Linked DNA regions of Macaca mulatta. The protein of the gene in region 2 purifies or fractionates together with the protein of the main gene of each other region. This does not show direct contact. Links are inferred from orthologs where the notes say so. Each region holds a gene or a part of one and is shown on either strand. Other genes may lie near its edges.

The links. Proteins that work in one complex are often made in the same cells at the same time.
Region 1: the proteins of RNF13 (region 2) and AP3D1 purify together in Homo sapiens (affinity purification with mass spectrometry; 3 studies listed by BioGRID and IntAct, counting the BioPlex papers as one, with this or other methods). This does not show direct contact. The link is inferred for Macaca mulatta from reciprocal best matches to the Homo sapiens genes RNF13 and AP3D1.

The regions. Positions count from the first base shown.
Region 1 is NC_133424.1:2,843,589-2,848,362, forward strand, and holds part of AP3D1 (AP-3 complex subunit delta-1), read right to left. Parts: intron 4,499-4,774; coding exon 4,321-4,498; intron 3,631-4,320; coding exon 3,559-3,630; intron 3,205-3,558; coding exon 3,097-3,204; intron 1,373-3,096; coding exon 1,217-1,372; exon of another isoform or gene 1,189-1,216; intron 913-1,188; exon of another isoform or gene 879-912; coding exon 831-878; intron 518-830; exon of another isoform or gene 481-517; coding exon 291-480; intron 1-290. UniProt on the Homo sapiens protein: Part of the AP-3 complex, an adaptor-related complex which is not clathrin-associated. The complex is associated with the Golgi region as well as more peripheral structures.
Region 2 is NC_133407.1:52,820,934-52,826,503, forward strand, and holds the start of RNF13 (E3 ubiquitin-protein ligase RNF13), read left to right. Parts: upstream 1-2,440; 5' UTR 2,441-2,594; intron 2,595-5,570. UniProt on the Homo sapiens protein: E3 ubiquitin-protein ligase that regulates cell proliferation. Involved in apoptosis regulation. Mediates ER stress-induced activation of JNK signaling pathway and apoptosis by promoting ERN1 activation and splicing of XBP1 mRNA.

The DNA of each region.
Region 1 (4,774 bases), on a different chromosome or scaffold from region 2:
CCTGGTCCCATCCCTGTTTCAGAGGACAGACTCGGCCACTGGAGCCGTGGAACCCAGGAAGGCCCCAGCCCCCAGCCCAGCCCTTGGGGCTCTAGCCAGGTCTATCCGAGGCCATCACACTTCTCAGAGAGCTGCAGCGAGACCCCGACACTGAGGAGGCACTGAGGTGCAGCCTGGGGACCAAGGGAACGTGAGGAGGAAGCAACAAGAACCAGTGGATCCGGGCAGCCACCAGCTGCCACCGTGCTCCCACAATCCCCAGGAGAGGCCGTGAGTGGGGCAGGGCTCACCCGGGGGCAGCTGGAAAGGCACGGGGACACCATCATGGACGGAGGAGCCCTGCGGCCGGGCCATCCTGGCATTGAGTGAGTCCAGCACGCTGAGCTCCATGCCCTTGAGGATGCTGCTGCTCCGGTTCTCCAGCACGATGGCCACAGTAACCTGACTGTCCTCCTGCAGACTGCCCCGGATGTCACAGGTCTGCAGGGCATGGCCAATGTAAGCAGGGCAGGCACAGCTGCCTGTCTCTCAGTGACCACAGAGGCAGCACGGGTCCCACGGGCACAGGAAGGCACGGGGAGAGGCGACCCCCAGCTGCAGCCAGGCGCCTCCTGTGGTTGCTCTTTGAGTGCATGGCGGGGGCCCTCCTGCCAGCTCAGGGCATGTCTCTAACCTTACCCAAGCCAGAGGCGCTGCCCAAGCAATGCCCTGCCAGGGATCACAGGCCCTGGGTACACCAACATCTGGGAGCTGTGGGGGCTGCCCCGGTTCTGTGCAATCCCATGCCAAAGAGCAAGGGCTGGCCCACCCTGCCCCGGGGAGCAGCTCACCATTTTAACATAGGAATTTTCAGCGAGGAGGGAGTAGCTGGACTCAGGCTGGAAAGAGAAAAGGCCCATCAGCCTCGGGGGCCTCGAGCTCCGTCCTAACGAAGACTCCAGTGCAGCCCAATACCCTAGGTCAAATGCCACGACTCCAAGAACGCTTGGGGTGAGGGGCTTCAAAGGGGCCTGCGAGGGATGCCTGTCTCCCACACAGCCCACTGCGGGGGTGCCGAATGTGGGGCTGCAGGCCAGGGCCAGGTCCCTGCTCCCGCCAGGCTCAGCTTCTTCAAGAATCTGCTGTTCTCTCCCGCATGGAGGCCGCAGGAGTGGGGAGCAGCCCGCAGCCCGCCAGGAACCCTGGCACGGGGCGGGGGCGCTGAAGTACCCCTCACCGGGAGCGGCTCCTCCTCTGCTGCGCCGTTCTGCACCGGCTCCCCCGCCGCCTCCGCCTCCTCGCTGCCCAGGGGCTGCTTCTTGGACTTCTTCTTGCCTTTGGTGCGCTCCTCCTTCTCCTTCTTGTGCTTCTTCTTCTTATGCTTGGGAGATTTCTGGAGCAGGAGGAGGGTCAGGTTCAGTTCCCAAGCTGCTCCAGCGCGCCCCCCTCACAATGCGAGGTCGGGGCCACAGGCTGGGCTGCTCAGGCTGAGGGGCCCACGTGTCTGGGTGGGATGGCAGGACCAGCCACGCCTCAGGCCTACCGGGATGAGCTCAGGCCAGACCCAGCCCAGCAGAGGCTGGGGCCATCCCTGGCTGGCGGCAGGCGGCAAGCGCCAAAGCAGCTCAGGGAACAGTCCCTGCCGACCAGGGAGCCATGGATGGTCAACCGGTGAGGACGCCACGCTTGATGCAGCAACTCCACACCCACGCACACACCCGAGAGGGCACACACACGTCCATGCACACTGCACAAATGTTCGAAGCAGCACACTGTGTGGCCACAAAGTGGAAGCGGCCCAAGTGGCTATCAACAGACGAGTGGGCCGGCACAGCGTGGCCCGTCCGTGGAGGAACGGGGTCAGCAGAGGGCGGCCTGTCCACGCACCAGAACACGACCCAGCCATGAACAGGAACCAGGCTCTGACCCAAGCCATAGTGTGGATGCACCTTGAGGACATCACACTCAGTGACACGCCACACACAAAAGACCACACAGTGTATGACCCCATTTCTGTGAAATGTCCAGGACACACTGATCCACAGAGACAGGAAGGATGCGTGGGTGCCAGGGCTGGGAAGGGAATGGGGAGTAACGGCTGGTGGGAATGGAGTTTCTTTAGAGGTGATGGAAAGTTCCGGAACTAGGCCGGGCGCGGTGGCTCAAGCCTGTAATCCCAGCACTTTGGGAGGCCGAGACGGGCGGATCACGAGGTCAGGAGATCGACACCATCCTGGCTAACACGGCGAAACCCCGTCTCTACTAAAAAAATAATACAAAAAACCAGCCGGGCGAGGTGGCGGCGCCTGTAGTCCCAGCTACTCGGGAGGCTGAGGCAGGAGAATGGCGTGAACCTGGGAGGCGGAGCTTGCAGTGAGCTGAGATCCCGCCACTGCACTCCAGCCTGGGCGACAGAGCGAGACTCCGTCTCAAAAAAAAAAAAAAAGGAAAGTTCCGGAACTAGACAGAGGTGATGATGGTTGCACAACGCTGTATATATACGGAAAACCACCGTATACATATTTTAAATGAATAAACTCTATTAGACTTATGAACCATGTGTGAATATGGAGATTATTAAAAAAACAAAAGACGGCCGGGCGCGGTGGCTCAAGCCTGTAATCCCAGCACTTTGGGAGGCCGAGACGGGCGGATCACGAGGTCAGGAGATCGAGACCATCCTGGCTAACACGGTGAAACCCCGTCTCTACTAAAAGATACAAAAAATTAGCCGGGCGAGGTGGCGGGCGCCTGTAGTCCCAGCTACTCTGGAGGCTGAGGCAGGAGAATGGCGTGAACCCGGGAGGCGGAGCCTGCAGTGAGCCGAGATCGCACCACTGCACTCCAGCCTGGGCTACAGAGCAAGACTCCGTCTCAAAAAAAAAAAAAAAATAAATAAATAAATAAATAAATAAAAATAAAAATAAAAATAAAAATAAAAATAAAAAAAATTAAAAAACAAAAGACCACGACCACAACAAAAGGCCCGTGAGAAGTCCGATGCAAAGGCGAGAGCAGGGCTGCCCTGGGATCTGGGTGGCGGAAGCTGTCCGGCCCCACATTGGGATGCTGGGGCGCATGCAGCCCTCCACAGCCACTGGGGAGTGACAGCCTCACCTTGTCCTGGTCTTGCCCCTCAGCGTTGTCCTCCTCGTCCTGCGCCTCCGTCTTGGCGTCTTCACACTCGTGCTTCGGGGTAGTGACAGCGTTCACACTGAGCTCCTCCTGCAGGGAGCCAGGGCTCAGGGCTCATGCTGGGCAATGAGGGGCCCCACTCCACTTCACTCCAGGCAGCCTCCATGCCGCACACCCTCAGCTCACCCTCACCCCTGCCTGAGAGGCCACAGTGCCCTCTGAGTGACAGGGAGCCTGTGGGCGCAGAGGCCCTGGCCATCCTCCCCTTCCCCTGGCCCCTGCTTGGCCCACTGGTACGTGGGAGCACGACCCCGGCCCCACTCAGTGCTGCGAGAGTGACTGCGAGAGCACGGGGCCTCAGGAGACCCCAGGGCTCTTCCCTGAGTGCCAGGTATGACCTCTGGAGACACGAAGGCCGGCAGTGGCCAGCTGCCGGTCTCTTACCGTGGATGGAGCAGGGGCGGGGGCGGGGGCAGGTGGTGGGGTGGTGGACAGCCAGAAGTCCAGGTCCTCAGCCTGAAACCACAAGACAGGCTGTCAGCAAACGCAGTGCATGGTCCTAGGAAGAGGCGCCGGGGACAGCAGGGGACAGCAGGGACCAGCTGCCCTTGCTGCCCCCAGGGCCCTGGACCAGCTGGGCCTTGCAGAGCCTGGGAATCCAGGAGCTGATGGTGATGTCCTCAGCCAGCCCTGCTGGCTCTGGCTTTCGCTGCCAGAAGAGGGCCAGGGACATATCTGTGGGTGGGCATGCACCATTCCAGTGGTCAGAAGGCCCCTGGCGGCCCGTATGTCTGCCTGGGCCCCTGACGTGGGTGTGCACGGCCCCAGGCCTGCGAACACGCGCTCCTCTGAACCCATTTCTTCCTCTCTGTGAACATGTGCACACAGACGCTGCAGAGACAGCTGCACACCAGGGGCATCTGGACCACACTGAGCTCTGACCACGGCTCCCCAACACAGGTGAGGACACGGCTCACCTGTCGGATTGTCGGCTCCTCCTCAGTCTCCCCTGAGGCAAGCGCACAGCCAACTCCCCTCGGAAGCCACGCGTCCTCCCTCCGCCAGGGCACAGGGCGAGGCGGCTGGCGCTCGCTGCCTCAGACTCACAGCCATTTCCCCTGAGCTCACTGCTGTCCCCAGGCTGTCTGGGAGTTCAGGGCAAGAGAGGGGAATGGAGAAGGATGCTACCCTGGGCACTAGCTTTACCTTCTTCTCCTTCTGCTTCTTCTTCTCCTTGTCTCTCTCTTTCTCTTTGTGCTTTTTCTCTTTCTTCTTGGGTTTCTTGCTCTTCTTTTCTACCACGGGAACGTCCTTCTCGGGGGATTTTGAGGTCTCGGCGTTTCTGTGTTTCTGAATAGGCAGCTTCTCGCTGTCGGCTAAGGGCCTGGAAAGGGGAATGACCGGGTCGCACATCAGCACCACTGGCCACCCCCCAGGACCACCAGTACATGCTGTGTCCAAGCATGTGGCAGCGCGGGACCTGCTCCTCCAGCCCCTGGCCCCAGCCATGGTCCGACGTGGATCTGCCCAACACGGCCTGCTGCAGGCTCTCACGGGAGAGTCTGTCGAGGCATGGGGACCTTCTGAGCACCCCAGGCCTGGAGACTTCAGAGCCCACGCTTAGGGTCTTGGTTGGGAGGGCCAACCAAAAGCAGTGCAG
Region 2 (5,570 bases):
TTACTGTCTAATCTGCTTTAGAAAAATTAATACATTTTTCCAATATATTTTTTTCCAATTTACCTTTTTCAGCACAGGTTGGGAGAGTAAATGTTTTTGCAGAGTGTAGCCTAAACGCAGTACAAATCACACATTACCTTGTTCATAACTGAGAGAACTATACCTATTGTGATCTGAAGAGCAGATTGAAACCAGAAGTAAAATATTCTGTACTCCAGGTGCCTTTAAGGAATAAGCAAAGCTCTTTGGCTGAGCATGGTGACTCGTGCCTGTAATCCTAGCACTTTGAGAGACTGAGGCAAGAGGATCCTTTGAGACCAGGACTTTGAGACCTGCCTGGGCAACACAGCCAGGCTCTTTCACTACAGAAAATAAAATAATTAGCCGGGCCTGGTGGCACATGCCTGCAATCATAGCTACTCCAGAGGCTGAGGTGGGAGGATTACTTGAGCCCAGGAGTTCTAGGCTGCAGTGAGAAACGATCTCACCACTGCACTCCAGCATGGGCAACAGAGAGAGACCTTGTCTCTAAAATAAATAAAAATAAAACAACAATAACGAAACCCAAAGCTCCTCTCTGTGGACTTAAATATATATATATATATATATATATTTTTTTTTTTTTTTTGGAGACGGAATCTTGCTCTGTTGCCTATGCTGGAGTGCAGTGGTGGGATTTCAGCTCATTGCAACCTCTGCCTCCCGAGTTCAAGTGATTCTCCTGCCTCAGCCTGCCAAGTAGCTGGGATTACAGGTGTGCACCACCAAGCCCAGCTAATTTTGTATTTTTAGTAGAGATGAGGTTTCACCATGTTGGCCAGTCTGGTCTTGAACTCCTGACCTCAAGTGATCTGCCTGACTTGGCCTCCCAAAGTGCTGGGATTACAGGCGTGAGCCACTGCACCTGGCCTAAAAAAATTTTTTTGATGTTATGCAAGAAATCTGATGTAATATACCAATTTGAGGTAATTTAATGAAAAAATGCTTATAGAGATATTATAAATGTGTTTATATTAATTACACTAGTCTTCTTAGTAATATTCCCAATGCTGAGTTTTATTTATGACTTTCTTAAAGGCAGAATTGTGATTTAAGTATTGAATGTCTTCACAACCAATGAAAAGTTAAGACTATATAGAATACTCATAGGATATACAGAAGAGGAAAGTACCTTTGATGGCTTTTATTTAATTTTTTAAAATTTGATTTTAAATTTCTTGTATTTGAATTTTATTTGAGTAGGTAATATTTACAAGGTTCAAAATTCAAAAGGCACAAAAGGATACACAATAACGAAAGTGTCTTTCCCCCGTTGCTGTGTGCCACCTACTCAGGGCTCTCCAAGCAATCAAAGTTACAAGTTACATCCAATGGTATTCTATTAATATTCTGTGTGACAGCCTTCTCGCCACCATTTTTAAAACATGATGTTGAAGGAGTTGAAGCCTGTAAAGGCCTTATTAAAGGTGCCTTATTATTTGAAGCAGAAGTAGTGGCTGATTCTATGTCTCCTGACATTTTAGTTCAGGACTTGGTAATCTTTGCACTAAGTCACACTGCTTTTGTAAGGTGGCGAGTTGGCAATGATTAATCAGTGTGGATAGTACAATCCGGTAATTTTCGACTGGTTTAAGATTGGGACAACCAGAAAAGGTTTATCAGAAGGGCGGCAGGGGACGAGATTTTTGGTTCATCAAAAGGAGGCAACGGTTTTAAAAATCACGTGGTTTGACTTTTGCTAAGCCCCGGGGATGGCGCGTGTCAGGCCCAGAGTGCTGATGTCAGCGCGGATCCGAGCCAGGCCTCGGGGGACTGGCGTTCAGATGCTCGCATCTCTAACAATTTGAGCCTTACTCTAAGGTGTGGTCACGGTCCCACCCACCCTGATCTCAGACTGGGCACGGTGCGGGAGGAGGGCGGATGAGGCCTCGCCCTCGCCTCTTTAGTAGGTCGGGTGAGTGTAGTGTGCAGGGAAGAGACGTGTCAGCGTCAGCGCCAGGGCCAGGCCCGCCCGGGAGCAGCCGGGCAGCCGGATCTTGGGCTACTGTGTCCCAACAGCCGGAGCGGATCAGACCGACAGGCCCTGCCCGCTCGGTCCCGCGTCGTCCAGACCCTACGGTCTCCGTTTCTAGGGGCACATGGTTAGCGGCAGACGCCCACAGCCAATCCACTCTGCCAGCCTGCCCCTTCCTCTGCCAAGAGCAGCTTCTTCAGCCGCGCTACAGTTCCGCAGACGCCTGCCCCACCCTGCCCTTCCCTTCCAGGGAAGACCGATCACGCGGCCAAGAACGAGACTCGCAAACTGGGCATTTCTCCGAGCCGGGCTGGAGCAAGTAGCGAGACTCCTTGTGAGAGTGGGAAGGAGCCTTAACAGGCAACCATGTGGCCCAATGGGTTTTCTGTGCCTTTGGGTGCGGACCAATGAGGCATGTGGGGCGGGACTTCCGCTTCGCCTCGGTGTTGTCGTCCCTGCTCCTACTCCGGGCTGTGGGGGTCGGTGCGGATATTCAGTCATGAAGTCAGGGTAGGGACTTCTCCCGCAGCGACGCGGCCGGCCGGCGAGACTGTTTGTGTTGCGGGGGCTGGACTTCAAGGTAAGACCTTGTCCGGCTTCGCGGCAGCCGGGCAGCGGGTTATCGAGAGGCCCAGAGAACATACCCCGCTTGTTGGCCCTCGAGCCCGGAGTCGGCCCTGCTGCTGAGGTCTTTTGCTGCTCCTCTAGAACTGGGCGAGAAGTAAATTAGGCTTTTTGCAAAAGGAATAAAATAGCCTTGCCCTCGGGGGACCGAGTCTCCTCTGCACTCTGATTCTGCGAGTTTGTGTGTGTCCAAAGTTGAGTTACCGGTTTTGCTTCTCTCATTCCCTTCTTGAGGCTGCAAGAGCCTGCCTGGAAAACATGTTTGGAAGGCTTTTCTTGGTCAAGCACCTGCCGCAACGTCCTCGGGGAAATCGCTTGACTTTAGTTGAGGGGGCTGTTTTGTCTTCGAATAGAAGGAGGGCAATCACTTCCTCTCTTTTACCCCCACCCCCTTTTTCTTTCCCTGGAAGCTCAGATTGCAGATTTGGGACGTGACCCCTGCTAGGGCCAGATACTACGGTCAGTCAGCAGCTGTGCCTGTACGCTTAACTTGACTTGCACTTATTAAAGAACTTTGTCCCAGAGAGAAAGAGAGAGTGGGCAGACATAGAAGCCAAACAGTAGTATCCCGGAAGCACTCATGCAACTTTGGTGGCAGCCACTCAGTTTTCTCTGCCGGTGTCTGGTAAATTCCTCTATTTTGTCCTAATCTGACAATAGTAAATAGTAAATTTCCAAAACTGTCGTTTCATCATCAGTTTCAGCACCGTGGGCAGCTGCTCGGGTCCTCTCTTGTTGCCCCAAACCTGCCCGGCTATTACTGTTAGTCAGTGATGCAGCAGGAACAGTGAAAACTGATGCATTCCTTTCAACAATGATGTGTTGTTCTCCAAGGAGAACATCTGCAGTTTTTGTTACAATATAAATAAGTAAGGTAGCTGTGCCTCCAAAGAGTTCTTGTGGAGAAACAAATCAATTCAAGATTTAAGGTAGGACTTTCAAGAGTTTATTCTATTTAAGGACAATTTTTTAAATGGGTGGAGATTAGCTCCATATCGAAGTAACAAAACTGGACAGTGGTAGCAATGAAAAAGAACTTTAAACAGGAGGTAAGAAGTGTAGTGCAGTGCTGTAGTGCAGGGCCCATAAGAATTCATTAATAGATTTTAGAATCAATTTAGTACATTGACGAAAGCATTAAAAAGAAAGAAAAAAATACCAGAGGACATTGTATGGAATAAAAGTAAATATTATGGCAAGAAGCTTTTGTTTCAGTTTTTAACAATATGCATGTGTCAAGAGGAAGTTGGAAATGTAGAGTATATTATGGATTATTGCAAAAACAAATGTTTCAAAAATACTGGATTCCAAATTTGAGAGTCAAGCTGGGTTCAGTTCTGCCACTTACTAATTCTGTGACCTTTTCCGTAAATAACAAATGAGTTGTGAGGATTAAATGAAACAAAATTTGTCTATTACGTAAGTTTTTTTGTTGTTTTGTTGGAAACTATTGAAGAGAAGGACGGTTATTTTTCTCTATGTAGGGAATGAGAACTGTTTTATTAGGTTTTTTTTTTTTTTAACCTCTGCCTTTGTTTGAAGCTAGGCAGCTTGTCATCTTGTCTCTATGTGTAATGCAAATCTTAGACAAAATCTTGGTTTGAGAGTTATAATACTGAAGGGTTTGGGATAAGTTCTCATCTCTCCTTGTATAAAGCTAATTTTCTCAATAATTTTGGAGGGGCATAAATTGTTGTTAGCATTCAGCTTTCTTCCCTTGATATTTTTCTGCATTCCAGAATATCGTAGATTATTCAGAACTTTTACAGGCACTAACTTTAGCTAAGTGAGGGTAGGACTGAGGGTATGACTAAAGGGATAGATTTATGTCTTTGAGTTAAGTTGGAGAAAGGCATTTTATGCCTTATAGTTCTTCCCATAGGAGATGTATGAAATGAAATAGTTTGGTCAACTATCATGGTATGTTTTGCTTACTTCGTATAGGTGTGACCTAAAAATGGTTGGCATTTAAATAACAATATTTTTAAATCTGGGAATTAATGATGTTTAGCAGAAGGCAAATGAGTTTCAGTCAAAATAGTGTTTTGCACTGTTTGTCATGTTTACCATATGGCATTGCGTATGATAGTTTCACATGACATAAAAAGGGGAAGAAAGTTGGTAAGCATTGTTACTTTTCCCAAAAGAGGAAACAAAATTACAAGCAAATTCCTTTTAATAAAGCATACTGGTGAGTCATTGTTCAAAAATGTATGTATTCTATAGATATTTATTGAGCATATATAAAAGTAAAATATTAAACTTTTATGAATCTTTTACATTACACAAAAGTTGATTTGGGGACAACACAGCATATGATTGGTGTTGTCAAAGTTTATATAACGTAGTATATCAATAACAACAAAACAGTAATGTAGCTAATATTGATTGGTTACTATGAGCCAAATACAATTCTAAGCCCTTTGTAATATCTCAGGTGGTTCTTACAGTCATTGATGTAGTAGATGGTAAATTGTTTCCTTTTTATTTTTATTTTTGGGGGACAGGGTCTTGCTCTGTTGCCCAGGCTGGAGCGATTATGGCTCACTGCACGCTTGACTTTGTGTGCTCAAGGGATCCTCCTATCTTAGCCCAACAAATAGCTGGGACTACAGTCATATACTGCCATGCCTGGCTAATTAAAAAAAAATTGTTTTTTTGTAGAGACAAGGTCTTGTTATGTTGCTCAGTCTGGTCTGAAACTCCAGGGTTCAAGTGATCCACCTGCTTCAGCCTTCCAAAGTGCTGGGATTACAGGTGTGATACATCATGCCTGTCTTATCCCCATTTTATAAGTGGGAAGTGGGGGAATTAAGGCATCACAGATACATAACTTGTGAGTTCACACAAGTAGCTGGTGGAGTAGTGGAGTAGCTGGAATTTGAACACAGGTATTCTGACTACGGAACGTCTGTCTCTTTTATGTCTTATT